4 linked regions of the Diceros bicornis minor genome follow. Each later gene encodes a partner of the first gene's protein in a complex. Links are inferred from orthologs where the notes say so. Each region holds a gene or a part of one and is shown in the gene's direction. Other genes may lie near its edges.

Region 1 (7,125 bases):
CCAGGAGTGCAAGTGGCAGCCACCTTCTTCAGGGGATGCTGCTTGGGGACAAGTGTCCTAGGAACGGAATAACAGAGGGCCGGTATTTGGGGATGCGTTAGGCTGATCTGAAATTAGACCCCCTCTATTTTTTCAAAGGGGAAAACCTCAAACAAAGCCAGCCCCAGGTCCCCGTGAGATGACCGCTGGAGGCAGGAGGGTGGGTGTCTGCCGCTTGAGCATGCTTGCCCCCCAGCCCCACCGAGCGAGCGCCGACTGGCTGTCCCCGTCTGGGGGAGACCTGGGCAAACCGCTCCTACCTTGTTGGGCTCACCGTTAGGATTCAGCATTTTCGAGTTTCCCGGGAGTGACAGCAGGGAGGTTTGTGGCTGTCTGAAAGGTCTGTCTGGAAACACGGCCTGGGAGAGCGGGGCTGCTTGTTCAGGCCTTGGTTTGCTGATTGCTCTCCAGCAAAAATCGTTTCGTTTCTGCCCTGACGCGATGCCGTGCATTGTAGAGCCTCGCTTGGAATGATGCCGCTTCCCCTCGCATTCCCGCTTTCAGGAACTCTGGCTGGTTTCTCTGACATTGAGGCAGATGTCGCCGTTTAAAAGAGATGTTCAGGATTCCTTCCACACCTCGCGTCTCATGCTTTGGTGGCTGTCAGTAAACAGACCACAGTTCAGCAGCGCCAGGTGGAAGGCTCTTCAGAGAGGTCGTGATTTCCACTGACTTAATGAGGTTAATGTCTTTGTTTCGTGTTTCCATGTCATGGTGTTCATTCACGTGAATTCCCCCGAGCCCACCAGTCTGCAAGAATAGATTTGCAAAAGGCAGGCTACAGAAGCAGTAGGCGCCGCGTAATTAGCAATGGCTATTGAGGAGGGGGCTGATTTTCCTTGAGCTGGGGATGGGCGGCAGGATGGTGAGGAGGAGCAGCGAGAGGTCAGTGTCACTGTGCTTTAAGCTCTGAGAAGCCAGAGGGCCGAGGCAGAAGCCCCAAGCGTGGGCTTGCCCTCCCTTCTGCCGGCAGTGTCCTCCTGGGGACCCTTCATCCAAGGACCCAGCCCTGCTCGAGTTGCCTTGAGAGGCAGCGGGAATAGGCCCCAGTGTGAGGAAGTCCGGGGAGCTGGCTTCTGTCCTCTCCCACCGGTGGCACTGGTGACCGTCAAGTCCCACTGTGCCTTCTGTGTCCTTCCTGCTCTGGGGGGTCTTGCCTCCCTTGAGGACCTTAGCAGGAGGAACATCTCCCAGCCCCTCTTTTGCTGTGCCCACGCCCCACTTCTCCCACAGATCTCCTGGCTGGAACCTGCCCTGGCTCCACAGGACCCTCGCAGCAGGAGGCTCTGGGCTCCCTCCATGCTGCAGGTGGCCCCGCCCCACCCGCAGGCCCTCCCGAGGAAGGGTCACAGCAGAGGAGGCCCAGCCCCACAGAGAGGGGCCCTCCAGATCCTGGCCGCACCTGTCCTGCACCCGTCTCATTAGGAACGTGTGCTCTCCGTGAGACGTTTCATCCTATTCAACATTTTCTAGTGATATTTGGTATCCGCACAGCTTCCTCGTAGCACTCAGGCCCATGCTCATGTGTACCCTCTCGGGAGGCCCCATCCCCCCTGCCACCCTGTCTTGTGTATTTTTGTCCCGACACCAGCTATCATTACTGGTGTCACATGCCACGCCTTGTTGTTGGTGGCCACCTCCCCGCGTGCAGCAAGCTCCCGCTGCAACACCATCCCCTGCCCAGATGTCCAGCTGGTCCTCTGCAGCCCGAGGCAGCCTATGCAATAGGCCTCCGCTTGTCCCACTTCACAGACGTGGAGACTGAGGCTTGGAGTGGTCGAGATGTCTGACTAGGTAGCCCTGAGTGGGTGCCCCTGCCCGAAACCTGGCTGCTTAGCCACACTGTCATCCCAGCCCCAGGGCCTTGGCTAGATTTCCAGAGCCAGACCAGACCAGGGTTGCTTTTGGTGGGTGATGACTTGAAAGCTAATGGTTATTGATCTCGGCCTGGCTGGGCCTGGCTAGGAATGCTCATCTGAGGTGGGTCCTGCTTTTTGGGTGAGCTCCTGCAGCTGCAGGCTGCATAGCTGGTCTTCTCTCTGAACATGGACCCCCCGGAAGCCAGGATTGGTCTGCTTTCACCCCACCACACGGCCAGCGGCCTCTGAAGCAGCTGCCTGATGCTGCCCTGTGTGCACTTGGAGAGGGGGTGGGAGGGAGGGAGCTGCTGTCTGTGGGCTTCCGTGGCACCATTTCCTGAGACAAACCCCCACCCTGGAGCCCCGTGCCCTTCTACTGCCCCCAGAGTGATTCTCCCAGAAAGGGGGGATTTTTACACCAGGGACATCCCTGCCTGCTTTAGTGTCCATCAGAGACCTTAGTCCAAACCTCTGGGGGACGCCAGAAGTCCTGGGCCCTGCAGGCCCCTTCCCTTGGACCTGAGCCACAGTGAATGCGAGTCCTGGCCGAGGGGCCCCCCACCCCCCAGGAGAAGGCAGCTTGCGGAGAGCTGTGCCTGAGTCAGGGAGCCAACCCAGCCCCCCCAGGTGCTGCCGGGCACTGGCAGGGAAATGCCCAGTTAGTGTTGCGGGCACTGAGCAGGCGGCAACAAAAGCAGACAGAAGAGTGCCCCCTGCCTGGACCTGACCTTCAGGGGGATCAGATGCAACAAACAAGATGATTAGAGGAGACTCCAGCACGTTAGATGATGACACGTGCCGTGGACAAAAACCGCAGCAGGAAAGGGGATATGGAGTGTGGCTAGCCCAGGCGGCTCCACCACCTCCACACTCAGGGACCGAGCCACAGCCTCTGCAGCTGCCTCTGCTCCCGGGACAGCCCCTCCAGCCCTTCCCAGGGATAATCGGATTTGTTCTCCCTCGGAGCAGAGGTCGGGACAGTGCTGGTTCCTCCAACTCCCAGGGCTGGGCTCCGGGACCCCGCTCTGCAGCTGACCCTGCGGGAAGGGTAACTCCATCTCACCTCTGTCGTCAGTGACTATGCTGGGGCTACCGTGCAGGCAGCTGCGCCAGGGTGGAGGGCTGTGGTCAGGTGCAGGAGGAGTCCCTGGATTGTAGGCCACCTCTGCCCCTTGGGGCCGTGTCTTTGTTGCCCGGTCAAAGATGCTGCAGGATGTAGATGCCAGTCATGATGCCACCCTTCGTTGATGCACTCATTTATGCACATGAATTCACACACAGTAAATGGTAGCGTCCCATGCACACACTTCTTCCCCTGGCCTTTTTCCCACTGTCTTTTAGGACTCATTGAATATCAGTCTGTGTAGAGACACCTCTCTCGATGGCAGCACAGATTTCCATGATGTGGCTGGACTGTCATTTACGTAACCAGTTTCCCCATCAATGGACATGTATGTTGTCTTTAGTTTCCAAGAGCGTGCAGACATTGTTTAGGATGACTATTTAGCAATGGTGCTTAACATTTAAGCTTTGAAATTTCCTCATCCATACTAAGCCTATTCCCCCTTCTTTACCCCTCTCCTTAAATGCATCCTGCTCAGTGTTTCTATTGCAAAACTTCGTGGATTGTGACATAGTTATCACGGAGCGTGGCGCCCTGAGAACTCTGCTGTGCAATGGCGCTTTCTACAAGCAGAGAATGTGTATGGATAGCACTTCCCTTTACAAGGCTTGGAACAAATGAGCAGGGTCTTCCTGGGGCAGGGCCCCCTGGCATGTGGGCTGAGGCACCCCCGGCCTAATCACACTGGAGTCTGCTTCAGTGACAGGTGTGCTGCTTCCCGGGGACAGCCCTTCACGGGTTTTACTCTGGGAACGCCTCCAGAGAGCACCGTGATGTCGGGTCTTCGGCTGTGGGGGCTCTGCTCTCTGCATGCTCCCTGTGCCCCTGTGTTCATTTGGAGCACTTTTGAGCTCTCCCGCCTGGAATGTGGCTTCGCCTGTGCTTGACTCACGGGTGTCGGGGGGAGAGGGCGGCTTAGCCAGAGCTCCCGGCCAGCTTTGAGGACTGAGAATCTCATGCCAAGAAGTATTTACATCCAGGGGCCTGGCCTCGTCCCTGGGCATCAAGACCCCTTGGTGGCTGCTCTAGTTGGAGGATGTGTCTCTGCAGCCACCGCTGCCCTGGGGCCAGCATCCAGCCCGGGCCCTGGGGGCAGCAGCACGCTCTCTAACCCGTCGCCACCCGGCGTTTCCCGTCTGGACAGTGGTGGCTCCCAGGCCAGGCGGTACCATGTTGTCCATGACGTACAGCGAGAGCCTGAGGAGCGTGAGCAGCAGGTGTCACTCTGATTGGGCCCTGCACCCCGTCCGCCAGACCGACACACTAGAGCTGCAGCGGCTGCGGGAGGTGCGGGCGGCCGCCCAGGCCAGGAACATGGAGAGCTTCCTCCGCATGCACGGCCTCTCCCTGGATGGCTGCACCGCCCGGCGCACGGGCATGAAGTACCGGTAAGGGCTGGGCTGGGGCTGGGGCGGGAAGTACGCTGGACGTGGCAGGAGGCCCGAGGCAGGTGCTGCAAGAGAGAGAAGCCCAGGAAACATGAAAACAACTTTACCGTATGTCAGGGTCAATATTTTGTGTTTAAAAATGCCAAGCATATAGAAATGTATAAAGGAAGAAAATGAAAGTTTGCACAGTCCTATCCTCCAAAGAAAAGCACCGTTAAGTTTGGTATATTCTCCGTGGGAAAAGAATGTGGTTTCTTGAAAAAACTTTGCAGCAGGGGTAAACGTGCTATTTCATTTGTCTTCTTGCAACGTTGCTGAGACAAATTAATTGTTAGGAGTTAACTAAACATGAATTAGGGAAAATACCTCAATTCGTCATCTCTAATGACAAACCCTACCTGGCGCCAGAAACCCGGGTTGGGTTGTGGGGGCAAAGACATGGTCCCCTCCTTTCCATCCTTAAATTGAGCTGTCCTCGTGGGAAGTGGTTTCAACAGGTGGCCTCTGAATTGCTTGCTGCAGCTCCGCCTGTAACTGTGATGGTGAAGGCTGTGGATTAAATGACCCTGTGTTCTCCAGGGGACAGGCATGTGGGGCTTAATTTCCTGGGAACCTCAGAAGGACATTCTCTTTAGCTTGCTCATTGTTGAAATCAACGTCTGGGACAGTACTCCGGCCTGCCTACTTTCTCCTCTGGGAGCCTCAGAAAGCAGCCAGAGAGCCCTGGAGCTTGCATTTTCCGTTATAAATTGCATATATGCAGCTTTATTCCTGCGCCTCCCAGGGACAAGCCCTTGCCAGAGCCAGTTGGCCAGAGAACACCCTCTCCGCAAATAAAATACAGGATGCCCAGTTAAATCTGAATTTCAAATGAACAGTGAGTTTATTTTTTTAGTATAAGTATGTCCCACATATACTAAAACATTTTTCGTTGTTTGTCTGAAGTTCAGATTTAATTGGATGTCCTGTATTTCATCTGGCGACTTGAAATCTTTAGCTTCCATCTAACAGGCCCCTGGGGTTATCGGCTGTTCTCTGGAGAGTAGAGTGACCAGCCTGTGGCTTTAACATTTCTCCTATGGACAATGTGTTTGGGCCTTCGGCTGATTGTTTGAACATGTGGTTGTCATTTAAAGCAACAAAACACTTCTGCTGTGAGTCCATTAGATGGCAGAATCCTTAAGGCTTTGTATTCTAACTCCAGCTGTAAGGGAAGCTAGTTTGGCCCCAACGAGCTCCTAATTCTGATGGAAATTTCTCAAAAGGGAGATGAGACTCTGCATTTTTTCTTTTTTTTGGCAAGTCATTGATACTTTTGATTAATTCAACAAGTGTTTATTGAGGATCTACCTGGCTCCAGGGAACAGGTGTGCCAGATGCCACATGGACAAGACAGACAGCGTCCCCATCCTGGATATCGCTTCCTCAACGGGGGAGGCAGAGAGAAAGCAAGTGGACACCTAAGGGAGTAAGGGGAGCCGGGGACGACTTGGGCCAGAGACCCCAGCCATCTGAAAGGGGACATTTGAAGATATGCGGCAGACCCTTCTGGGCCAGGGAGACAGGCGTACTTTTGGAGAGAGAAGGCCTGAGTGGCCTGGCCTAAGTGAGGACGGCGGAGAGCTGTAGGGATGAGGCGGGGTGGCCAGAGTTTGTCCTCCCCCTAGGAAGACCCCAGCTCCCTCCGTTGAATATGATTTGTGATAGAGGGTGCACCAGGGTGAATCGTGTGCCCCAAAATTTCATCTCCACCCGAAACTTTATTTAGAAATGGGGTCATTACAGATGTCATTAGTTAAGATGAGGTCCTACTGGAATGGGGTGGGCCGTAAACCCAGTGACTGGTGTCCTTATAAGAAGGCCATGTGAAGACACTCAGGGAGAGGCCATGTGACAGTGCAGGCAGAGATTGGATGGATATGGCCACAAGCCAAGGACTGCCTACAGTCACCAGAAGCTGGAAGAGGCAGGAAAGATCCCCCCTAGAGCCTTCGGAGAGAGTGTGGCCCTGCTGTCACTCAGCTTTCAGACTTCTGGCCTCCAGACTGTGAGAGAATCGATTTCTGTTGTTTGAAGCCCCTCCGTTTGTGGTACTTTGTTATGGCAGCCCCAAGACACTAGCACAGCTGGCAGGGGGTGGGTGGAGGGGATGGGGACGAATCTCTTATGTGCCTGACACCCCAGGAAAAGGTCTGTGTGGCATCTGAAACATGCAGAACTAACTGGGGCCGAAATACCCTGGGAAAACTGGGTGGGAGAAACAAGAAAACCACTGGTGGCACCTTTCGCATTTGATGGGCCAGAGGTTGTCACACCTGCGGGCCTTTCTTTATCTGGTGGATTTCATCTTGCTGCATCCAGGGGGGGTTGGTTGTCTGGAAACAGGGCCTCCCTAACTAACGCCACCAGTTATTAAAGATTCCAGATAAATGCTGTTCCGCAGTTAACATCCCCATCAGCATCTGGGCCAGGACTCAGTTAAACTTGGTCTTAAATAGTAATATGAAAAAGGTGATGCCTCCAGATAGGTGATGCTCGGTGGAGCAAAGACACCCACGCCACTGGCCGGACGTGTTATCGGCTGAACTGAGCCTGCAGCTGGGGAAAAAGCTTTCTTTTCAGCTTCTCCCATTTGTTTTTAACTGTCCTCAACTCTTGCTGTTTAAAACAAATGCACTGAATTTTTAAATCTGCACGATCCCCATGTAAGCTCCTC
Region 2 (7,228 bases), on another chromosome or scaffold:
GTTATGAAGCGATCATGGCAGGCTGAACTGGGGCAGTGGCAGTGAGAATGGAGTGGTGAGGACAGAACTGAGAGGGACTTGAGGGAGAATAGAAAGCACTTAGTGACCGACTGGATGTGGGGGGCACAAGAACAATTCAGAGATGACATCGTATTCTAGCATGAAATTGAAAAAAAAAAAAAAACAGGAAGAGAAGCAAGCTTGGAGAGAAAGATAATGAGTTCAGTGTTATAAATATTAAGTTTGGAGTATCTGCAGGAAGAATATTCAAGTGGGCAGCTTAAAGTATAATTCTGGAGTGCAGGATAGACCCATCCAGGAGGGTAGGGAGAAGGGAAAATAGAGAAAAAGGGAGGAAGTGGCACCTTAAAAAAACAATTCTTGCATATCTGCATAGCCCAGCTGGGTCTATGAAACAGAACCAGAACTGTACAGATACCTCTCCAAATAACCCCCTATACCAGCAAAACTGGCTCACTCACTGTACCTTACTGTGCCTTGTGCACTCACACTGCACCTTTTCCTTCCTCCGTTCAACATATGTTAATTAAGCATCTATTATGTGCCAGGTACTGTGCTAGACTTGGAGGAGACAGAAGTAAAAAAGTCAAAACCCTGCTACCGGGCAGTTTATGTTTTAGTGCAGGACACAGTCAAGGAGCAAGTAACCAAATAATCATAAAATATAATTTCAAGTAAATAAACGCAATAAGGAAAAATAAAGAAGATAAGAAGGTAGAAAGTTACCGAAGGAGGAGACGGAGGGGAACTCTTTGAAATCAGGCGGTTGTGGTCAGGGAAGACATCTCTGATGAAGTGACATTTTAAACAGAGACCTAAAGTGTTACAAAGAGCTGGGTGAAAATCTGGACGAAGAGTGTTTCAGGCAGAGGAAAGAGGAAGTTTGAAGACACTGAGGGAGGAGCCAGCTTGGTATGATTGAGAAACAGCAAGACAGCCAGCTTGGCTAGACTAGACCAAATAGTCACGGAGTGTCTTATGACACTTCTGGTAATATTTATTGTTTGTATTGTTAACTAATACTGTCACAAAGATTTTCGTGGATTTATAGCCTATCTTCCAAACTCCACGTAAGCCTATTGAGGGTGAGGTCTATGTTCAAACTTCATACTGCCACAGTGCCTAGGACTGTGACTTGCACATAGTATGTGTTCTTCCTCCATTCATTTATCTGTGATTGTAATTAGTGGTAATCGCTAGGCCTGCCTTGTCCCACTCTCAAACACTTCTGAGCTAACTCCAGAGGCTGCTAACCATCTGGAACTGACTGGTGAGCTATTTCTGGTACTGCTGTGATCAGTTAGAAACTCAAGCTATGTCCAGAGCAACTCAGAAAGCCCAAACACCAAGATTTACCCTTGCCGTTTGCAAACCTGATGGTTTTACTTAGGGTCTAATATGGAAGACTGAAATATGAGGAATTCTCCACATGCTCAGAGAAGCTGTTGGCTTTGCCACAGTTCTATGCTTAAACATTATAATAATATTATTATTATCCCACAGGGGTGTCATGAGGAATAATGAGACATTTTCAAATCACTTTGAGCTACTCCATTGGGGGTACTAAATAAATGGTATGTGTTCCTCCTGAAGTGCCATTTTTGACATTGATTTCTTGTGATGGGTTCTGCCGTACAACAGGGCTGGAATTCACCCACCAACTCATTTCCTACAAACAACAGACTAGCTGTCAGAAGGCAGTGGTTTTCAGTTAAAATAAATACGAATTGAAGTGAACTAGTCGGCAATCAGAAGCAAATAGGCTGCCGTTAGAAATCTAGTATTTATTAAGCACTCACAGTAATCAACATAAGAGTTTCACAGTGTGATACAGTAGAGCGAACATTGGATTTGGAAATGGTCCAAGGTTTTATGCCTAGCTCTGCCACTAACTAGCTGTGTGAGCTTGAACAAACTGCTAAACTTCTTTGGGCCTCACATAGAAAGTAAGGGCTGTCCTAAGAAGCTCATAACCAGTCTTCCAGACAAGGCAAATACATGGAAGGAATGGAAATAGTCATTTCTGTAGGAGAGAGACTTCACAGCAGGGAGAAGCTTGTGACCATTCATCACAGGGCCCTCCTCTGTTCTAGTCTTCCTTGCCATTGATTAATATTAATTTCAGTACTAATTCCTGCAAATGGAGAAATAAATCACTTTCTAAGTCAGACATAGAAGTGCATGAAACATTTGGTCTTTAAAAATAGGGTCTTTGCCTTTCTACGAGCCATCCTTGCAGTGAGCCATCTGTCTTATTCCTAGATTTAAATATATGAATGATTGATTATACTGCTACCCTAATCACCAGCTCAAAAACAGTGTTCTAGTTTTGTGAGAATGTTTTACATGGTTGTCCACTTTTACCACCTTACAACACATGTTACTGCCTGCAGTGGCCGGCACTGACCTGGAGGTGAAGTGGAAGATAAGAGGACCCTGAAGAACATGAGTGCTTGTTGTACCCAAAAGAGGCAGAGTGGAAACCATGTGGAATAACTGAGTAATGTACTGTACTGTGAACTCAGGTTCCCCTCACCCCTCATCCCAGGAATCCCAGTGGTCCTGGCCTCAGAGAGGAGAAATGTTGACACTCCAGAGCAGACAGAAATGCAAAGAATCACTTACTAGGGAATTCAATTCAACAAACATATACTGAGTTTCTACTATTTATCAGGCACTTCGATAGTTGCTAGGAATATAAATTGGATAAGACCGCGTCTCTGCCCTAGCAAACCTCACGGTTAGGAGTGGCGGTGGGAAGCAATGAACACAAATCACTCTTACTACAAATGGAACTCTCACCTAAGGTATGATAGGTGAGGGAGTTGTCTAGACAACTGTTCTTCTTTTGTAAATGATTTGAATGATACAATAGAAAACACATTTTTAAGCCTAAGGTTGACTCTGAATTGGAGTTGCTAAAATGTCTGGAAACAGAAATTGTGTTCAAAGTGACCACAACCATTTGGAGAAATAGTTTAGGTTCAAAGGGGATAAATGTAAGTTATTATCTCCAGGCCAAAATCAAGCAACAGAGATACAAGTTTCAGAATGAATGTTCTCCCAGTTTAACTACTAGAGTGTGGCAAATTCCCTCCCACAAGGCCAGCAGTGGAACATTAAGTAGAGGGTCTAGGTACAGGTCTCATTCCCCTCCCTCCCAGATACTTGCGATGTGAATTTCCCTTTTCATTTTCCTCTTATTTTCCCACTGACAGGAAATCTCACCATACTGAAAAGACCAGGCCCCGGCCAATCTCAACCAGAAACTTGGTCCTTGGTTCTTCCCAATGGCTGAACTCTCAGCTGCGCAAGTTAGAGTGAACTATTCACTGCAGAAGTGAAGTCCCTGAATGCCTTTAAAGACCCATTATCTTCAGATTCCGGGTGCGAAACTCATCAGCACCCATCACTTGGTTCTGCTTCTCATCCAAAAAGGAGCTAAATTATTGACAGCCCTGCCGGCCTGGCGGTCTTCTGCCCTCAGGTGGACTCAGGATGCTGGCAGCAGGCTTGCTTCTTCCCCAGGCGCCCACCTGGCCTGCTCCCTCCCCCGACACCCCTCTGGGTCCAGAGCACATCCCCATGCTCCCTCCTCGCCTGCCTCCCCTCTGCCACCTCGGCTCTGCGGGGCCCGCCTCCCCGGCGGGCCCAGGTGGAGAGTGCAAGGCGCGGAGGCCCGGGGCGCGCGGGGCCGCGAGTGGCCCAGTGCCGGTCGAGCAGCCCCGCGCCTGGGACGCGGCCTCGCGAGCCGGGGGAGGGGGGCGCTGACCAGAAGCCCGTCGTGCCCAGGGGCCAAGGCTCGGCGGCCGGAGTCCCCGAGGTCCGCCTCGGCTGAGCCAGGGATTGGGGGGAACACTGGGACGCAAAATGAGGGCGCTTCCGTGACCTAGAGGGGCGAGGAGGGCGGGGCGGCTCCTCGGGGGAGCGGGGCGCGCGGCCGCGCGGTGGGCGGGAATCCTGAGGGGACGCGGAGGGGCGGGCGCGCGCCCCACGGGGGAGGAGGCGGAGGGGAGCCGGAGGAGGCGTCTTTTCGGAGGAGCCGGGCGCACCGCGCCAGACCCAGACGGAGCCTCGCGGCGGTGGCAGCGACAGCAACAGGCGGCGGGCTCGGCTCGGGGGCGGAGGCGGCGAGGGGCGGGGAGCGCGAGGAGGAGCGACGCGGCCCCGCGCCGCCGCCTCTTCCCCGCCGCATGGACGAGCACCTCAGCCTCCTGCGCTCGCCGCCGCCGCCCTCCGCCCGCCACCGCGTCCACCCTCCGCCACCCCCCGCGAGCGGCGGCGGCGCCCACACCCTGGTGAACCCCGGCTACGCCGAGCCCGCCGCAGGCCCCGAGCTGCCGCCCGACATGACCGTGGTGCCCGGGGACCACCTGCTGGAGCCCGAGCCTGCGGACGGCGGCGGGGCCCCGCCTCAGGGCGGCTGTGGCGGCGGCGGCTGCGACCGCTACGAGCCGCTGCCGCCCGCGCTGCCGGCCGCCGGGGAGCAGGACTGCTGCGGGGAGCGCGTGGTGATCAACATCTCGGGGCTGCGCTTCGAGACACAGCTCAAGACCCTCTGCCAGTTCCCGGAGACGCTGCTGGGCGACCCCAAGCGGCGCATGAGGTACTTCGACCCGCTCCGCAACGAGTACTTCTTCGACCGCAACCGGCCCAGCTTCGACGCCATCCTCTACTACTACCAGTCCGGGGGCCGCATCCGCCGGCCGGTCAACGTGCCCATCGACATCTTCTCCGAGGAGATCCGCTTCTACCAGCTGGGCGAGGAGGCCATGGAGAAGTTCCGTGAGGATGAGGGCTTCCTGCGGGAGGAGGAGCGGCCCCTGCCCCGCCGCGACTTCCAGCGCCAGGTGTGGCTGCTCTTCGAGTACCCGGAGAGCTCCGGGCCGGCCCGGGGCATCGCCATCGTGTCCGTGCTCGTCATCCTCATCTCCATTGTCATCTTCTGCCTGGAGACGCTGCCCGAGTTCCGCGACGAGAAGGACTACCCCGCCTCGCCGTCGCAGGAGCTGTCCGAGGCGGCCCGCAACAGCACGTCGGGGGCCCCCGCGGGAGCCTCCAGCTTCTCGGATCCCTTCTTCGTGGTGGAGACCCTGTGCATCATCTGGTTCTCCTTTGAGCTGCTGGTGCGGTTCTTCGCTTGCCCCAGCAAAGCCACCTTCTCGCGAAATATCATGAACCTGATAGACATCGTGGCCATCATCCCTTATTTCATCACTCTGGGCACCGAGCTGGCTGAGCGACAGGGCAATGGACAGCAAGCCATGTCCCTGGCCATCCTGAGGGTCATCCGCCTGGTGAGAGTCTTCCGCATCTTCAAGCTCTCTCGCCACTCCAAGGGGCTGCAGATCCTGGGGCAAACGCTGAAGGCTTCCATGCGGGAGTTGGGGCTGCTCATCTTCTTCCTCTTTATTGGGGTCATCCTTTTCTCCAGCGCTGTCTACTTTGCCGAGGCAGACGACCCCACTTCAGGTTTTAGCAGTATCCCGGATGCCTTCTGGTGGGCAGTGGTAACCATGACAACAGTAGGTTATGGTGATATGCACCCAGTGACCATAGGGGGCAAGATTGTGGGGTCACTCTGCGCCATCGCTGGTGTCCTGACCATTGCTTTGCCCGTCCCTGTAATTGTTTCCAACTTCAATTACTTCTACCACCGGGAGACCGAAGGAGAAGAGCAAGCCCAGTACATGCACGTGAGAAGTTGCCAGCACCTCTCCTCTTCAGCCGAGGAGCTCCGAAAAGCAAGGAGTAACTCGACTCTGAGTAAGTCGGAGTATATGGTGATCGAAGAGGGGGGTATGAACCATAGCGCTTTCCCCCAGACCCCCTTCAAAACCGGCAATTCCACTGCCACCTGCACGACGAACAATAATCCCAACTCCTGTGTCAACATCAAAAAGATATTTACGGATGTTTAATATATGATACAAGTGACATGCTGTGCTCAGTATTATGTGGAACATGCCCCCTTGGTCTTTGTATGCCCTCGTTTTATACGTTTCCAGGCCATTCATCAAGGAAAGAACATGAAGAGGTGGAAAGCACACTTCCTTCTCCCTCTCCCTACTGCTTCATACTGAAACAGGTGTCTGTTTTGCAAGTGGGCTGCATTCTCTCAGCTCTCCTTTTTTTTTCTCCCCCTCTCTCTTAATATTGCAAACAAACTTACTTTAAACTTGATTTCTGGTACAAGTCCTATAAAAAAAAAAAAAAAACCCGTATATCCTGGGAGGAAATGAAACTAAAGAACAGTTAAGAGTAACTGTTTAACCTCAGAATTAAAAGGCAGTTGTTTCTTTACTAAGTAAAGTAGGCACATACTTAAACTGTGCTTGGGTTTGATGGGCCCGTCAACGTTATTGAATCTTTAGTTCAATTGCCTATGCTGTGGATATGTGGATGGAAAGTCTAATTAAAACAATGACTTGTAAACCCACCATATTATTTGGTTTTTGACTAGAATTTCTATTTGGAACTCCCCTCCTGGAATTTTGAGCTTCTCTGCAACTTTGAACAAAGGGGAATGCCCAAGATGTCCTGATCTGACTAATATAGTTTAACTCTTGGGGGCTTGTTAAGCATTTCAAAAGTATTAGACTAACAGATTCCTGTGAAGTTCTGTGTGTGTTCCAGCCAGCATCTATCAAAGTCTAGAAACAGATGTTTTCAGTGCTGCTGAGAGAAACAAAAAAATTTCCTAATGCATCTGAGAGATAAGCTTCTGCAGTATCACAAGAAGATTAAAGTGGCAGACACTCCTTCCAGCGGAACTTACTAATTCGGACCTGACTGATGCAGTTCCCATAGCAACCCATGTTTCCTGGGAAACTCGAAAAAGGTTGTCATGGCATCTCTTGCTCTCTAGCCCCACCCCCTAGCCCCTGCCTTTTCCACAATAATCTTTCCAGATGTTTTCTACTTACATGATTTCATAAAGGAAACCACTGTTTGAACAAAGTCTGAGAATCTTCGTGAAGTGGTGAAATGAATCACAAAATGCATATTTTTTTACTACAAAAAAATCATTGATGTCATTCCATAGTGACTGAATTGAGAAGGAAAATATCGTCTTTGGAATGGTTAGATATATACCACAATAAGGCATGATTTGAATTAAATGCCAGTAATAAGGCAATAATTTTAAAAGATGGTTCTCTGTTTCCTTCGTTCTCCAAGAAGTTTCAAGCCAACAAATGAAATTTAA
Region 3 (7,787 bases), on another chromosome or scaffold:
TTGGACAGCCTCCAGTGGATGTGTGGATATGCCCTAAGGGTCTGCAAGCTCTGTGGACCGAACCCCTGTTCCTAAGACCAGGAATTGAGCCCAGAGGCCGGCCTCCGGCTAACAGCGAAAGCAGGCAGCTGAACAGAATAGTGATTAGTGGAGTCGGACAGTCTTGAGTTCTGTCCCAGCCTCACCGCTTACTGGCTAAATTACCCTGGACAGCGACTTGTCCTCTCTGAGCTTCAACGTTCAGCTGTAAGATGAAGATCATGGCATCTTTCCCAGTGGGTGGTTGCAAGGATGAAATCTAACGACCTATGGAAAGCTGTCAGCACAGTGCCTGGGCTCGCATTCCGTGCTTCCCTGCCCCGCCTCCGTGGGCTAGAGGGGGCTGTGCCGCCACAGCACCCAGGGTAGGTGGGTTGGGGGAGGAACAAACATCAACTGAGGTGGTAGTCATGCAAGGAAGGAGAGCTGGTCCTCTGGGAGTGACACCTGAGAAGGGAGCTCATGTAGTCTTCTGTGTTCATGAGCTGTGGCAGGAAGAATAAAGGACCCTCCCTCCTGAGCCTTGGGAGGGTGGGCATGGGCATGGGTGGGTGCACCATCATAGACTCCTCCTCCCAGTGACTGTAGTCACAAGCACAGGAACCAACAACTTTCCTGTGTTGGGCAGGGGCAGGTCACTCACTGTGGTGGTCACTGGTCCTTCCCTCTGCTGAAGGCAAGGTATGGCCCTAGCAGGAAACCAGACTGAGGGGCGGGGAGTGGTCTTTGGGGGTCTGACCCACCCGAGGGAAGGGATCAAGGGGCATTCCAGCCGTTCTTTTGCAGCCAAAAATAAGAAATGGGGATTGCTCTAGGGCTGGAAAGCGAGCTAACAGTGACTGAACCCCTAGGGTAAGCCAGCTGGCTGTCCTCTGTTCATAACTCACTTAATCCTTACCACCTGGTAAAGTAGTTTTGTTGTTCCATTAGACAAATTAAGAAACTGAGGCTCAGAGAGTTTAAATAACTTGCTCAAGTTCACACAGCTAGCAAGTGCCAGAGCGAGGAATTGGGCCCGCGATCTTTTCTCACAGAGCATCGCCAAACCAGGAGTTACATTCCAGGGCCAAGCCACACCGTGTGCCCTTGGACAACTGTTATGTTTCTTTTCTTTTTTCTTTCTTTCTTTCTTTAGCTAATTTCTTTTGGCTGCTGTTCACACTTAGATCAGGCATTAAAGGGGGGAGGCAGGACGACACACCCCTGAGGCCCATCAGGAGATGGAGCAGGGTCAGAGGACGATCCCAAAGAGAGAAATGAATGTCAAGGGCTGCTCATTCTACCTGAGCAGTGTGGGGTGGGGGCTAAGGGTGTGTGTCCCAGAGTCACAAAGACCTGATTCAAGTGCCAGAGCCACCACTTCATGATCTTGGGCAGGTTGCTTCACCTCTCTCTGCCTCAGTTTCCTTTTCCATGAAATGGTACTTATATAGAAACGACCTCATAGAGCTGTAAGGATTAAACACACACTGGGCTAGAGGTGCTTAGCATGGTGTCTGACACATGGTAAGCACGTCACCAATTAGCACGATTATTGATTCTCCCTCAAGAGCTTTCTTCCGTCCATGGCTTTCGTTTTAAAAAAGGGGGGCAAAGAAAATATATAGACCCCATCAAAGGGATAAGACTATTGTGCTTTAATTGACATGAGGACCCAATGTGTCAAGGAGGAAAAACAGCCCTGCAGCGTGGTCAGGGGAGGAGTGTGGAGCAGGATTCTGGAGGACAGCTTGGCGAAGGAGGTGAGGGGTGGGGCAAACTGGGAAGCGGAGGGAATGGGGCCACAAAACCTGGTGATCCAGCCCTTAGAGAAACAGTCAAAAGCTGAGCTGGAGGCTGGAGTTAGGAGGGCAGTTTCATAGGGAAGCAGAGTGGAGAAACCATCATTTGTGGAGTGTCTGCTGGGGGCTAAACTCTTTACATAAACAACCCTCACAACAGCCTGCGAGGTATCCCCATTTTGCAGATGAGGACACTGAGGTTCAGAGACGTGAATTAATTGCTTAGTACCTGGCAGGGATTTAAGTCCCAGTCTGGCTGGTTCCAAAACTTCCAGGCCATACTCAGGCTGGGACATTGATGGCCCAGCTTCTAGGGGCCCTAAACCAAACCAATCCTGCCTTACAGTCATCTGTCGTTCCCAGAGCTCACTGAGGTCACTGCCCTCCCAGACCATCCTCTGCAGCTCTGAGTTGGCCTCTAGTCTTAAACCATACCTGGTAGACTACCCTGATGAAATGCTGGAATCCCACAGAGCTGGACCCTGTGGGCTCTCAGAGCTTCCATCACAAGCTACAGGCCTAGAGAGGAGGGTTGTCTGAGCAAGAAGGGCCCAGCAGGAGTCTCCCCAGGACTGGAGCCCCTCTGCATCCAGGGGTCCTGTGTGCCGCAGTCTGGGCTCAAGGAACCACAGTTTGAAGCTGTCATAGAGCTCCCAAGAGCACCCTGGACCCTCTCAGATCCACCATCTGAGCGGAGGGCAGGCTGGACTTCCCACATATATTCTTCCAAAAGCAAAGGTCATCCTCCTCTGCCCACCCCAGGGTGCCATGAGCTGCACTCCCAATTTCGGATCCCCGTGGGCCACCTGGCTTTGTTAAGGTCTGTGAGGGGGCCTGTTTTGTGGGTAACTGGCTCTTCGCTATGGCAGCTGCACGACTCCAGCCTGCCCGGCCCTGTGGGGAGGCAGCCGAGATGGTCGGCTCTGCAGCTCTGCCTGTTCCTGCGGCTCCTCCCGGTGGGGGCGAATACAGCAACGAGTTTATGCCACACTGCGGCCCGCACCTGCTGCATTCCCCTGCGAAGCCAAAGCTTTGGCTGGGTAAGAGGGAGGTGAGGAGGCAGAGCAGGAGGAGGGAGCGAGCCGGTGCGAGAGGGCCAGGAGGGGTTCTGTAGATTCTGTCTGGCAGCACCGTAATAATAGCAACACATCTCCCGCGGGGTTGGATCCCTCCTCGGGCCTGGGATAGCTGCTATTGATTGTTTCCTCCTCGCCTACTTCATTATGTTGGCAGGAGCCTTTCATGACCGATCTTCAACTTCTGCCCCCCGTTCCCCGGCCCCGGCAGCACCCAGCTGAGCTCTCCACGAGGTTCTGGTTAGTAAGCTGGGCTCTGCCAAAGAATGGGGTGTTGTCCTCGTGGGGTGGGGGCCGAGGCCCGGGGGCCCAACTCAGAGGCCAGCTCGGTGGTGTCGGCGCGGCGCGCCTCTCCGGCTCTGGCCCCCGCCGGCCCCTTTAATTCGAATTCGCTGCCGGGCCAGGTGCGGCGCTGCGTGGCGCGGTGCGGCTGCGGGCGGCGGCCGGGCGCTCGGCACGCGCCGCCCGCGGGACTGCAGAGCGGGCTCCCGGCTGGCCGCCCGCACCCCGCCGCCGCTTGCGGTCACCCAGGAACATGGAGGCTCCGGGTGCCCACCCAGAAGGGTAAATCGGTGTCGGGGCGTTAGGCTGCGCGTGGTGCTTTCCCTGCGCCGGCTGTGGCGCCCAGAGGGGCTGCGGGGCGCCGGGCGGCGCAGCCTGCCCCGCGGCGGGCTCGGGCCGAGTCTGGAGCGGGCGAGCCTGTGCGGACCGCGGCTGCCTGCCTGTGCCGGGGCGGGCGAGGGGGGCTGGTGCTCTGTCGAAGAAGAAGGCACGGAAAGGGCTCGGGGACCCCCTAGGCTGCCTGCCTGTGCGCGGTGCGGGGCGGAGGCGCAGAGAGGGGCTGGCGGGTGATGGGAAGTGCAGCTGACAGCATAACTATGTCTGGTAAATCGCACCGGTTGGTAGGACGCGAATCACTTGGGACGGCCAGGCTGCATTCCCCTCTCTGACTCGGAATGAAAACGGCTTTGCAGCAGAGAAGGGCTTTTCCGCTTCCCTGGGGCCGTGGGCTGCCGTGGAGCCCCCGGGCTTGGCAAGGAGCTGAGATCTGGGGCAGCAGCTTGCTCACCACCCCCGGATTTCAGGCTCCAGTGTTTTCGGGTGGAGATGGAGCCTCGGTGGTCCCTCGGCTGGACCCCAGGGGCAAAAAAGCTGGGCTGCGCTCTGACCCACAGCGAGAGCCCAGTGGACCGGGCAGGAGGGGGTTAAGGTGGCGCTCTCGGCCGCTGCCAGCTCGTGGGTCTGGTCTGCCGGCGCCGAGCCGAGCGCGGTGTGCGCCCGCCGGAATCCCGGCCGGAGCCCGGGGAGATGGGGAGAGGGCCCAGACCCCTCCCTGCCCTGGGGCCGGCGGGATTGGGCCGGCAGGGGGCCAGCCCGGAAGCCGGCTTTCTCCAGGCTCCCCCTCTCGCTGCTGCCAAGCCGCCTCTCAGCCAGGCTGGCTGAGCGTTCCTTCTGCGCTCCCTGCAGAGGAGATTTGAGGAATTTTCTCTTGGGGAGAAACCGGTGGTCGAGCGCCTGCCCAGTTCAAATGCCACCCCACTCAAAGGGAATCCTGCAGCCTAGGGATCCCCGAGGGAGAGTAAGTCCTGGGACCCAGCCGGCCAGCTTTTGTAGAGCCAACCTTTCTGTGTGAGCAGTCTCCCCAGATGAGCTCTGAAGGAATGTGTGTTCGGGAGGTGGGGACGTTTCCTTCCTCCGCAGGACCCCGCCGGGTCAGAGCTTGTAGTCAGGCTGCGGCGTAGGAAGCCCTTCCCTTGGGAGACGCTGTGTCCTGACCTGGGGGTGGGAGGACTTTGCCCAGAGTCCCTCCTGATGGCTGCTGAGGACTGTCGGGGTACCTGGCTTAGCCGAGTAAGGCCTCTGGAGGAGACAGGCCCAGCCAAGCCTGATGGCTTGTTTCCTGGGAGAAAATGCTTTCAGCTGATGGAAGCCTGCCCAGAGGAGGCTAGGAGGCTGAGGGGTAGTTCTTAGGTGTGACACCAGAATGGAAGATGGGCCTGGAAGGAAAGCTGCCAGAGCCCTCCTGACTCTTGGCACCAGCCCCCCGAAAGCCCTGGTTCCACCTTGCTGCTGTTTTTTCCAGGCAACGTCACACCCCCTGAAGACAGCCAGGAGGACTCCGGCTTTTGCTGAGCTTTGCATCTGGCCTTCTTCCTTCCAAAGGCTCCAGACTCAGGCTCGGCTGTCCTCGAGTCCTGCGTGCCCCTGGCCAGGCACACCGCTGCCCCTCCAGCCCAGCCCAGCCCGGCCCTGGAGCTCACCTCCGGGACCTGGAGCCTGCCCTCCTGCCCAGAATGACTCACCATTATTTCTAGCTCAAGTGAGAAGACATGATGGGGAGTCAGACAGCCTGTTTGTGTATCTAGGATTCCTGCACCATCTGATCAGCTCTGCAAGGAGGAGAGCTTCAGATTCCTGCTTTGCCAGGTAAATAACTCTATCATTTAATAACAGCCATGTGTAGAGTCATGGGGTAGGTGCAGTGAGGGAGACCCAGGCCTAAGATTCTGTGTGATGAATACCTCCCAGGGTGCGGGTATCTGCAAGACATTAGTTTAGTGCCTGGGGGAGGGCTCCCTTCCAGCCTCTAGTATGGGTTTATGCTCCATGAAGCCTGTATGGTGCAGAGGGGGGCCTGTACCAGCCACCTTCCCCCAGTGCAGGGCAATTCCAGAGCTTTCGTGAGAGACTGTCGTCTACTCCCCTATGATCCCCAGCCAGTTTATGAGGTGAAAGTAAATTTTGGTTTTTGTTGTTGCTGGTGGTGGTGATGTTTCTGAACTCGGTTGAGAGATGGGGGACGAGGAATGGCAATCCAGGTTGGGCTGCCAATGCCGAGTGGTGTCATGTCCTTAACTGCCTCTGTCTTTCAGCCAAACAGAGCTGTCTTCCTGGCTCTCAGAGAGCCCTTGGGGCTCTCTCGCAGGAGCCCAGGCCAATGCTCCTGTGCTTCCTGGGGCCGTAAGCAGCACCCTGAGGTCCCTGCCGCCAGGCAGCCGGAAAGTGTAGCGTGAGGCGCTTCTCTCAGTTCCAACTATGACAGTGGCCACCGGAGACCCAGCGGATGAGGCTGCTGCCCTCCCTGGGCACCCGCAGGACACCTATGACCCAGAGGCAGACCACGAGTGCTGTGAGAGGGTGGTGATCAACATCTCAGGGCTGCGGTTTGAGACCCAGCTAAAGACTTTAGCCCAGTTCCCAGAGACCCTCTTAGGGGATCCAAAGAAGCGGATGAGGTACTTTGACCCCCTCCGAAATGAGTACTTTTTCGATCGGAACCGCCCTAGCTTCGATGCCATTTTGTACTACTACCAGTCTGGGGGCCGGCTGAGGCGACCTGTGAATGTGCCCTTAGATATATTCTCTGAGGAAATTCGGTTTTATGAGCTGGGAGAAGAAGCGATGGAGATGTTTCGGGAAGATGAAGGCTACATCAAAGAGGAGGAGCGTCCTCTGCCCGAAAATGAGTTTCAGAGACAGGTGTGGCTTCTCTTTGAATACCCAGAGAGCTCAGGGCCTGCCAGGATTATAGCTATTGTCTCTGTCATGGTGATCTTGATCTCAATCGTCAGCTTCTGCCTGGAGACATTGCCCATATTCCGGGATGAAAATGAAGACATGCACGGCAGTGGAGTGACCTTCCACACTTATTCCAACAGCACCATTGGGTACCAGCAATCGACGTCCTTCACTGACCCTTTCTTCATTGTAGAGACCCTCTGCATCATCTGGTTCTCCTTTGAATTCTTGGTGAGGTTCTTTGCCTGTCCCAGCAAAGCCGGCTTCTTCACCAACATCATGAACATCATTGACATTGTGGCCATCATCCCCTACTTCATCACACTGGGGACGGAGCTGGCTGAGAAGCCAGAGGATGCCCAACAGGGCCAGCAGGCCATGTCGCTGGCCATCCTCCGTGTCATCCGCTTGGTAAGAGTCTTTAGGATTTTCAAGTTGTCCAGACACTCCAAAGGTCTCCAGATTCTAGGTCAGACCCTCAAAGCCAGCATGAGAGAATTGGGCCTCCTGATATTCTTCCTCTTCATCGGAGTCATCCTTTTCTCTAGTGCTGTCTATTTCGCAGAGGCCGATGAGCGAGATTCCCAGTTTCCCAGCATCCCGGATGCCTTCTGGTGGGCAGTAGTCTCCATGACAACTGTAGGCTATGGAGACATGGTTCCGACTACCATTGGGGGAAAGATCGTGGGCTCCCTATGTGCAATTGCAGGTGTGTTAACTATCGCCTTACCAGTCCCCGTCATAGTGTCCAATTTCAACTACTTCTACCACCGGGAGACAGAGGGAGAGGAGCAAGCCCAGTACTTGCAAGTGACAAGCTGTCCAAAGATCCCATCCTCCCCCGACCTAAAGAAAAGTAGAAGTGCCTCTACCATTAGTAAGTCTGATTACATGGAGATCCAGGAGGGGGTAAACAACAGTAACGAGGACTTTAGAGAGGAAAACTTGAAAACAGCCAACTGCACTTTGGCTAATACAAACTATGTGAATATTACCAAAATGTTAACTGATGTCTGATTGAAACCTGATAACATCCTCCCAGCTCAATGGAACTAATGCAGATATTGCATAATAGCCTGCATTGTAGTCAGTGTGTTCTACAGTGTGTATCTGGTTCTGCATGGAAAGCAATAGTTGTGCAAGTGACTTTTGATCTTTTGATTTTTGATTTAGAACACAGAATATCTATCCATGGCTTTCATGCAAATCTTCATCACTGGCTCAGGGGTTTCCAAAGATGGGAGTCGCCTATGGAGCCAGGATTTCAGAAAGACACATTGAGACCACTTCATGTCAAATACATAACCCACCACATCAGTGCCACCTTTCCTTCCTCATTAAATGCACACAGCATCTGGGAGATGCACCCCCT
Region 4 (7,142 bases), on another chromosome or scaffold:
TTGTGCTTTAATGGAAGGTGCGAGCCCCGGGCAGTGAGAGTAAAGGACAAGGGAAGTGAGATAGGGAAGGAGAGGGTGCAAATACCAGGTGGTGTGGCACCAAGCTGGCCACTGCTTCACGAGCCACAAAGAGATACAGCCCTGTCTCCAGACCATGTGGTTGCTTGTCCCTGAAATGAATTAAGGGGGAGGGAATTTATCTACAGGCTCCATCCTATCTCGTATCTCCCACTGGGCAAGCTCCCACTGGTCCATTTAATGCTTCCACATGGCTGTGTTGCTCACCTGGACCTTTTTGTGGTGTTGAGAAATCCTGATTCCACTCATTGCTGTGTGGTCAACCTCAGGAGGCAGGACTCTGTTGCCCACACAGAGCTGGCTGTTCCAGCAGCAGCTGAGGCAGGGCAAGTGGCCACAGGGCAAGAAGAATGGAGAGGTGGAGAGAATCTGAGGAGAGGCCTCAACTGCTCAATACAGTAATAATTAAGATGTACAAGGTCCCAGACTTTGTGTAGCTCACATTCTGGTGGGAGAGAAGCTGTCCAATCCACTCCTCCAGTAAATGACATCACCATCCACCTAGATACTAAGGCTACAAACCTAGGAGATGTTTTTTTTTTTTTTTTTTTTTTTTTTTTGTGAGGAGATCAGCCCTGCGCTAACATCTGCCAAGCCTCTTTTTTTCTTTTTGTTGAGGAGGACTGGCCCTGGGCTAACATCCATGCCCCTCTTCCTCCACTTTGTATGGGATGCTGCCACAGCATGGCTCAACAAGCAGTGTGTTGGTGTGCACCCAGGATCGGAACCGGCGAACCCCGGGCCGCCTCAGCAGAGCACGTGCACTTAACCGCCTGCACCACCGGGCCGGCCCGGAGACGTCCTTGAAATATTTCTTTCCCCCACGGCCCAAATCCTGCCATCTCTACGTTCAAAATGTAATCCTATTCCAACCCCTTCTCACAAGCCTACTACTGTCTCCCGAGTCTAAGCCATCATTGCTTCTGCAACTTAACCTCCAAACTTGCACTTTGTTTCCAGTAGCCAGAATAATCTTTAAAAATGGCAAATCATGTAATGTTAGTATATGGAGCCAAGTCCTCCAATATCTTCTCATTGCACTCAGAATAAAGTGAAGTATTGTTACAGTGGCTTAAGAGGCTCTGCATGATCTGGCCCCTGCCTACTCTTCTGACCTGCTTTCTACACTACTCTTCCTTGGTCACTTCTTTCTAGCCACGCTGGCCCTCTTTTGTTTCCCAATATGCCAAGCTTGTACTTGGCTGGGGGCGGAGGCCTTTGCATTTGCCTCTACTTCTATCTTTCTGATCTCCCCATTCCTTCTCTCTCTCTTCTTGAAGTTCTTTATTCAAGTGTTACCTCTGCAGAGAGGCCCTTCCTATGCATCCAAACTTATATTTGTCACTCTCTACCCCTCTGCTTAATTTTCTTTACCTAAGATTATAAAATGTATGGTTTATTTATTGTCTATCTCTCCCACCAGGATGTGAGCTCTGTGAGGGCTAGGACCTCATATGTCCTAGTTATGACTATGTCTCCAGCACTAGAACATGTCTGACACATAGCTAGGGTGGAGCAAATATTTGTTGAATGAATAAATATCTTCAGACCCTTATCAATGATGGGCTTACATCAAGAATGATGAATGACCATGTGCTAGCTGGACAACTTTCTTCCAATTCCTTGGGAGTCCAGTTGTGCTCTAAGCATATCTGCTAGGGAGGTTGAAACCTCCAGATCTTATTATGCCCTCTAATAAAACCCTGAATTTAGGAAGCTGGGATCCCATGCAGTCTGCAAGCCTCTTCTAGTAAGGCAGTCTCCAAATGCTGAATCAGGGCAAGTGCATCCACATGAGGCTAGGGAGATGACAGTCTTAGGGGCACTTAAAAGAAGGAAGGGGGCTACAGGCAGAGGGAGGGACAAGAACAGGGTAGGGGAGCCAGTATTCCTAGGACATGGTCAGAAAATGTTTATCAGATCTAGCAGGGTTATCTCCCTAGTGCTGTTAACAGCAGCAGCAGCAATAGCAGCAGCAGCAACAAAAATAAGGCACTGGACCAGCGCAGAGCTTCCTGTTTTATGTCCTTAATTTTTTTTACAATAAAGCAGTAGTGCAGAAAGCTAGGGAACCGTGGAGTTAGTGGGATACAGGAATACGTGTGCCGAAGGCGGGGAAAAGGCAGCGTTCAATATGAGAAAGAGGAGATTAAGAGAAGTCATTGCTAATAAAAGAAAAGCTGGGGTATGGATCCAGCAGAGCAGAGCGGAGGGAACAAACACTTTTATTTTTCTGAAAGGAATGCTGGCGTCTGAATCTGGAGGAGGGACTTAACTAGCTCTCTACCCAGGATTGTTGCACTGCCTGGGCTTTCCACTAGCCACGATAGAGTGCGGGGGCGGGGGGAGATGCAATCATTGGCTTTGATTAAAGAGGTGGCTAGTGTGGGCGGGAGGCAACAAGACCCGTGGTGGTGCGAAGGGGTGGTACCAACGCAGCGGGGGAACCAATCAGCGGCGACTCCGGGTTCTTCAGCCTCCTCAGAGACTCAGCAGCAGTTGAAGTACCCGAGCTGCTGGCTGCCTCTGGCGGGCTGCAGGCGTGGAGGCGCAGCGCCTTTGGGGGCGCAGCTGGAGCCGCACTCCCAGTGCACCGCGCACGCCCCCGGCTGGTCCTGCCCTGCGCCTCTGTGCGGACCCTTTCCCGAAGAAGTTGCAAGCCTTGCAAATGGCCCTGTGGAGGCACTAGGCCAGGATAAGAGGCTGCGGGAAGAGGGACGTAGGTGGGAGGTGGGCAGGCGACTTGCTTCTCAGATACGTCCCAATTAGCACCAAGTTGGCAGACAACCCCACAAACCCACCAAGCCTTAGATTGCCCACAAGTCACATTCTCCGTATTTTACAATAATCTTATAGTGAAAACTTCAACTCCCGTCGTAAGTCAAAGAGGGACAGACTCTTAGCACCACCGCCTCGCAGTAACGCTACACAGAACAAACTCAGGTGATCCTCAACCGCAGAGCTCTACCCAAAGTCGGCATCTCTCCGAGAAGCTGGGCTGGCCCTGTAGAGAGCCCCCTGCCGGAGGGGCGGATGGCGTGCAGAGCGTGGCGCCCGAAGCGGATTATTGTGGGACTGCACGAACGCAGACCCATCCGAGGAGTTTTGCCAGGAACACCACCGCCTGCATTGCGTCGGACCTGACCATTTACAATGTGAAATTCCCGGGGAAGGTCGCGGCCAGGGACCGTGCGTGTGCGGGGCTGTGGACCATAAGGGAGGTAGAATTAGTGGTCGGCTTTTCTAGCAGGAGAAGGAAAAGGCCGTGCTGGCAAGGGTGGGAACTGAATGACAACCCCCCTGTGCCAAGCCACCCCCTCATATTTTCCGTCTACCTCCCCGCTCCTGCCCTCCCCCGCCCTCCCCAACCCACGCCCGGGTGGGCCAATCGCTGCTGCGCATTCCAGGCGCTTTCTCAGGTTTCTGCTGATCTTGCAGCGCCCAGAAATGGACCGAGCGGACCCGCCGCCGCACGCACCCTGCCCCACTCGGAGCTCCTAACGGCTCCCGGCGCGCAGCAGAGCCTCGGCGAGAGCCACGCTGGGGTGCGGGAATCTGAGGGGACCCGAGAGCCATGTAGATCCAGGCTCTTGCTCGCTCGCCTCCTTCGGGATCGATTCAAGGGCTCCCACAGTGTTAGGAGGGGGCGAGAGTGCTGTTTATCGTCATTTGCTTCAGAGCTTCGGGAGAGGGTGGCATTTTGCTTTTCTGCCCCGCATCCTCCGGAACTCCCTGCACCAGAGAGAGGACAGCGTCTCTAGGTTGCTGGCAACGGGTGAGAATGGGGGTAGGGGATGGACATTTCTGCCGTAGCTGCTCAGTAAAGCGACTGTCCACCTAAGGGCCGTAGGACGAGGGGGCGAGGGCGGCGAGTTTGCCCCGGCGCCTCTCGGATGCTGCGGCGGCGGCGGCCGCGGCTCCCGCCCGGGTACTGCAAAGGCGACCTGCCGCATTCCGACTCGGGCTCTCCGCCGACTCAGCACTGCCCCTGCGCCAAGCCTGCCGGCCAGGTAGGGAGCTCCCCATTTGGGGCTGCAAAAGCGGGGTTTGGGGCGACCGGGTGCGGGAAGCCGAGGGTGTGGGGATGCTGCCTGGGATCTGGAGCTCCCTCAGCGTCTCTCGGCGCTTTTCCGATCTCTAGTTTAACGAAGTTGTAACCAGATCGGCTGTTGGGCATTGGGGAAAGTGGGATGGAACAGCCCCAAACTTGGATTTCGGGGTGTCTGCGTGTGTCTGTCTGTGTGTCTGTGATAACCCTAGCAAAAGTCCAGTGCTGTCTAAAAAAGCTAGAGGTCTGTGCTCTTCAGTGTCTGTAGGTCCGTCCCATCTGAATGCTTCTGATTTTCTACCCCCATATCACTTTCTATTTCTCTGCAGCGTCCATCGATCGCCCCGGTGGGAGCTTAGAAGGCGGCAGGCGAAGAGGGGTAGAAGGGGGGAGAGCCGAGGAGAAGCAGAGGGGGTGGCAGGCGAGGGGATCTGCTGAGCTGGCTCTGCACCCGGTCCTAGGAGGGCTCGCGGAGGGGAGGGGAGGCCAGGGTGACACCCGAAGCGATGGCCCGGTCCGCTAGAACGGCACTGCGTTAAGGCACCTCGGAGCAGGAAGAAGTACCAACCCTCCCCCCGACCCCACCCCTCCGCAAAAAGCTGCACCCTGGCTACAGGCAAGGGGGATTCCAAACTCAGTAAAGGCAGGGTGGAGGGGAAGGTAACGAGAAGCGAAGTCACAGATCTCTGGACCTGCTCGCTTTGAAGCCCCTCCCCCTGAGCGTGGGGGAGACGCGCACTCCGGTGGGGGGGGCGCTCGGGTCCCCCCCACCCCTCCTCTCTCGCTCGTTTCCACCTCGGGCTCTCTCCCGGTCTCTCACCCCTACCCTCCGTTTGCACCATGACGGTGATGTCTGGAGAGAACGTGGACGAGGCTTCGGCCGCCCCGGGCCACCCCCAGGATGGCATCTACCCGCGGCCGGCCGACCACGACGACCACGAGTGCTGCGAGCGCGTGGTGATCAACATCTCCGGGCTGCGCTTCGAGACGCAGCTCAAGACCCTGGCGCAGTTCCCCAACACGCTGCTGGGCAACCCTAAGAAACGCATGCGCTACTTCGACCCCCTGAGGAACGAGTACTTCTTCGACCGCAACCGGCCCAGCTTCGACGCCATCCTCTACTACTACCAGTCCGGGGGCCGCCTGCGGAGGCCGGTCAACGTGCCCCTGGACATGTTCTCCGAGGAGATCAAGTTTTACGAGCTGGGCGAGGAGGCCATGGACAAGTTCAGGGAAGACGAGGGCTTCATCAAGGAGGAGGAGCGCCCTCTGCCCGAGAAGGAGTACCAGCGCCAGGTGTGGCTGCTCTTCGAGTACCCCGAGAGCTCGGGGCCCGCCCGGGTCATCGCCATCGTCTCCGTCATGGTCATCCTCATCTCCATCGTCATCTTTTGCCTGGAGACTCTACCCGAGCTGAAGGATGACAAGGACTTCACAGGCACCATCCATCGCATCGACAACACCACGGTTATCTACAACTCCAACATCTTCACGGACCCCTTCTTCATCGTGGAAACCCTGTGCATCATCTGGTTCTCCTTCGAGCTGGTGGTGCGCTTCTTCGCCTGCCCCAGCAAGACGGACTTCTTCAAAAACATCATGAACTTCATCGACATTGTGGCCATCATTCCCTATTTCATCACCCTAGGCACCGAGATAGCTGAGCAGGAGGGAAACCAGAAGGGCGAGCAGGCCACTTCGCTGGCCATCCTCAGGGTCATCCGGTTGGTAAGGGTTTTTAGAATCTTCAAACTCTCCCGCCACTCTAAGGGCCTCCAGATCCTGGGCCAGACCCTCAAAGCTAGTATGAGAGAGCTAGGGCTGCTCATCTTTTTCCTCTTCATCGGGGTCATACTGTTCTCTAGCGCAGTGTACTTTGCCGAGGCGGAAGAAGCTGAGTCGCACTTCTCCAGTATCCCCGATGCTTTCTGGTGGGCGGTGGTGTCCATGACCACTGTAGGATACGGTGACATGTACCCTGTGACAATTGGAGGCAAGATCGTGGGCTCCTTGTGTGCCATCGCTGGTGTGCTGACAATTGCCCTGCCCGTACCTGTCATTGTGTCCAATTTCAACTATTTCTACCACCGAGAAACTGAGGGGGAAGAGCAGGCTCAGTTGCTCCACGTTAGCTCCCCTAATTTAGCCTCTGACAGTGACCTCAGTCGGCGCAGTTCCTCTACTGTCAGCAAGTCTGAGTACATGGAGATCGAAGAGGATCTGAATAATAGCATAGCCCATTACAGACAGGCCAATATCAGAACTGCCAATTGCACCGCAGCTAACCAAAACTGTGTTAATAAGAGCAAGCTACTGACTGATGTTTAAAAAGCCAAGCAAACAAACAAAAAAACCCCACTTAGCAGCTTGAAAGACTTGAAACACAAAACAAAACAAAAACCATAGTGACCCATGTCACTCTTTGTAGATACTTGATACGCTCTATTTAACTGTCAATGCATTGTTGCATTGCGGATTTTGGGGGTGATGAACCAGAAGCTTTCAAGATCCATGAAAAAAAGAAACTATTTTCTTTTTATTAAAAAAATGGGAAGAGAAAGTGTATTTTCTAAAGCTGGTTTAAAAAAATTCAGTCCGTGAGCTAGTCTAGGTAAAATAAGACTCATGTGCTTCCGCATACTGAAACATTTTTAATCCTTTGGCTTCTTTGATTTTTTTCTTTTAACTAAAAATCAGATGATCACTTAGGAGTAGAAAAGTAAAATTTGCACGGAACTCCAATATAAAATCTTTACAAACTGCACCGCACAGTTAAGACAGTGCATCTGATGTATTATCTGTAACATGACATACCAGCCAAGATGGACAATGAACAAACGTTTTTATTTTGATCAACTGAACTGCATATCACAAGGGGAAAAAATTACTTGAGACTGGTTCACAAAGCACCTTATGCATCTGATACTGGTCCTGATCTGTAGGGATTTTCCCTCTGCCCCATTCCCTTTCTAATCCAAACTGTTCTCTAAGAAAAAGAGAACTGAGTTAAATTAAT

Evidence for each region.
Region 2: the proteins of KCNAB2 (region 1) and KCNA3 are in contact, whole or in part, in a cryo-EM structure (PDB 7EJ2), measured with the Homo sapiens proteins. The link is inferred for Diceros bicornis minor from reciprocal best matches to the Homo sapiens genes KCNAB2 and KCNA3. Residues at the interface, in NP_001186789.1 of Homo sapiens: Met196, Tyr199, Ser200, Arg203, Glu231, His234, Lys235, Ile236; in NP_002223.3 of Homo sapiens: Pro133, Met137, Phe140, Pro142, Leu143, Asn145, Tyr147.
Region 3: the proteins of KCNAB2 (region 1) and KCNA2 are in contact, whole or in part, in a crystal structure (PDB 5WIE), measured with the Rattus norvegicus proteins. The link is inferred for Diceros bicornis minor from reciprocal best matches to the Homo sapiens genes KCNAB2 and KCNA2. Residues at the interface, in NP_059000.1 of Rattus norvegicus: Met193, Met196, Tyr199, Ser200, Arg203, Glu231, His234, Lys235, Ile236; in NP_037102.1 of Rattus norvegicus: Asp28, Glu33, Pro62, Met66, Phe69, Asp70, Pro71, Leu72, Arg73, Asn74, Tyr76.
Region 4: the proteins of KCNAB2 (region 1) and KCNA1 are in contact, whole or in part, in a crystal structure (PDB 1EXB), measured with the Rattus norvegicus proteins. The link is inferred for Diceros bicornis minor from reciprocal best matches to the Homo sapiens genes KCNAB2 and KCNA1. Residues at the interface, in NP_059000.1 of Rattus norvegicus: Met196, Tyr199, Ser200, Arg203, Glu231, Lys235, Ile236; in NP_775118.1 of Rattus norvegicus: Glu37, Met70, Phe73, Asp74, Pro75, Leu76, Asn78, Tyr80.

What each region holds. Positions count from the first base shown.
Region 1 is NC_080752.1:26,154,414-26,161,538, forward strand, and holds the start of KCNAB2 (voltage-gated potassium channel subunit beta-2), read left to right. Parts: upstream 1-4,110; 5' UTR 4,111-4,191; coding exon 4,192-4,409; intron 4,410-7,125.
Region 2 is NC_080743.1:43,675,826-43,683,053, reverse strand, and holds the start of KCNA3 (potassium voltage-gated channel subfamily A member 3), read left to right. Parts: upstream 1-4,214; coding exon 4,215-5,942; 3' UTR 5,943-7,228.
Region 3 is NC_080743.1:43,614,438-43,622,224, reverse strand, and holds the start of KCNA2 (potassium voltage-gated channel subfamily A member 2), read left to right. Parts: upstream 1-4,786; 5' UTR 4,787-5,323; intron 5,324-5,769; 5' UTR 5,770-5,932; coding exon 5,933-7,432; 3' UTR 7,433-7,787. UniProt on the Homo sapiens protein: Voltage-gated potassium channel that mediates transmembrane potassium transport in excitable membranes, primarily in the brain and the central nervous system, but also in the cardiovascular system.
Region 4 is NC_080756.1:56,621,358-56,628,499, reverse strand, and holds KCNA1 (potassium voltage-gated channel subfamily A member 1), read left to right. Parts: upstream 1-4,643; 5' UTR 4,644-4,966; coding exon 4,967-6,454; 3' UTR 6,455-6,634; downstream 6,635-7,142. UniProt on the Homo sapiens protein: Voltage-gated potassium channel that mediates transmembrane potassium transport in excitable membranes, primarily in the brain and the central nervous system, but also in the kidney.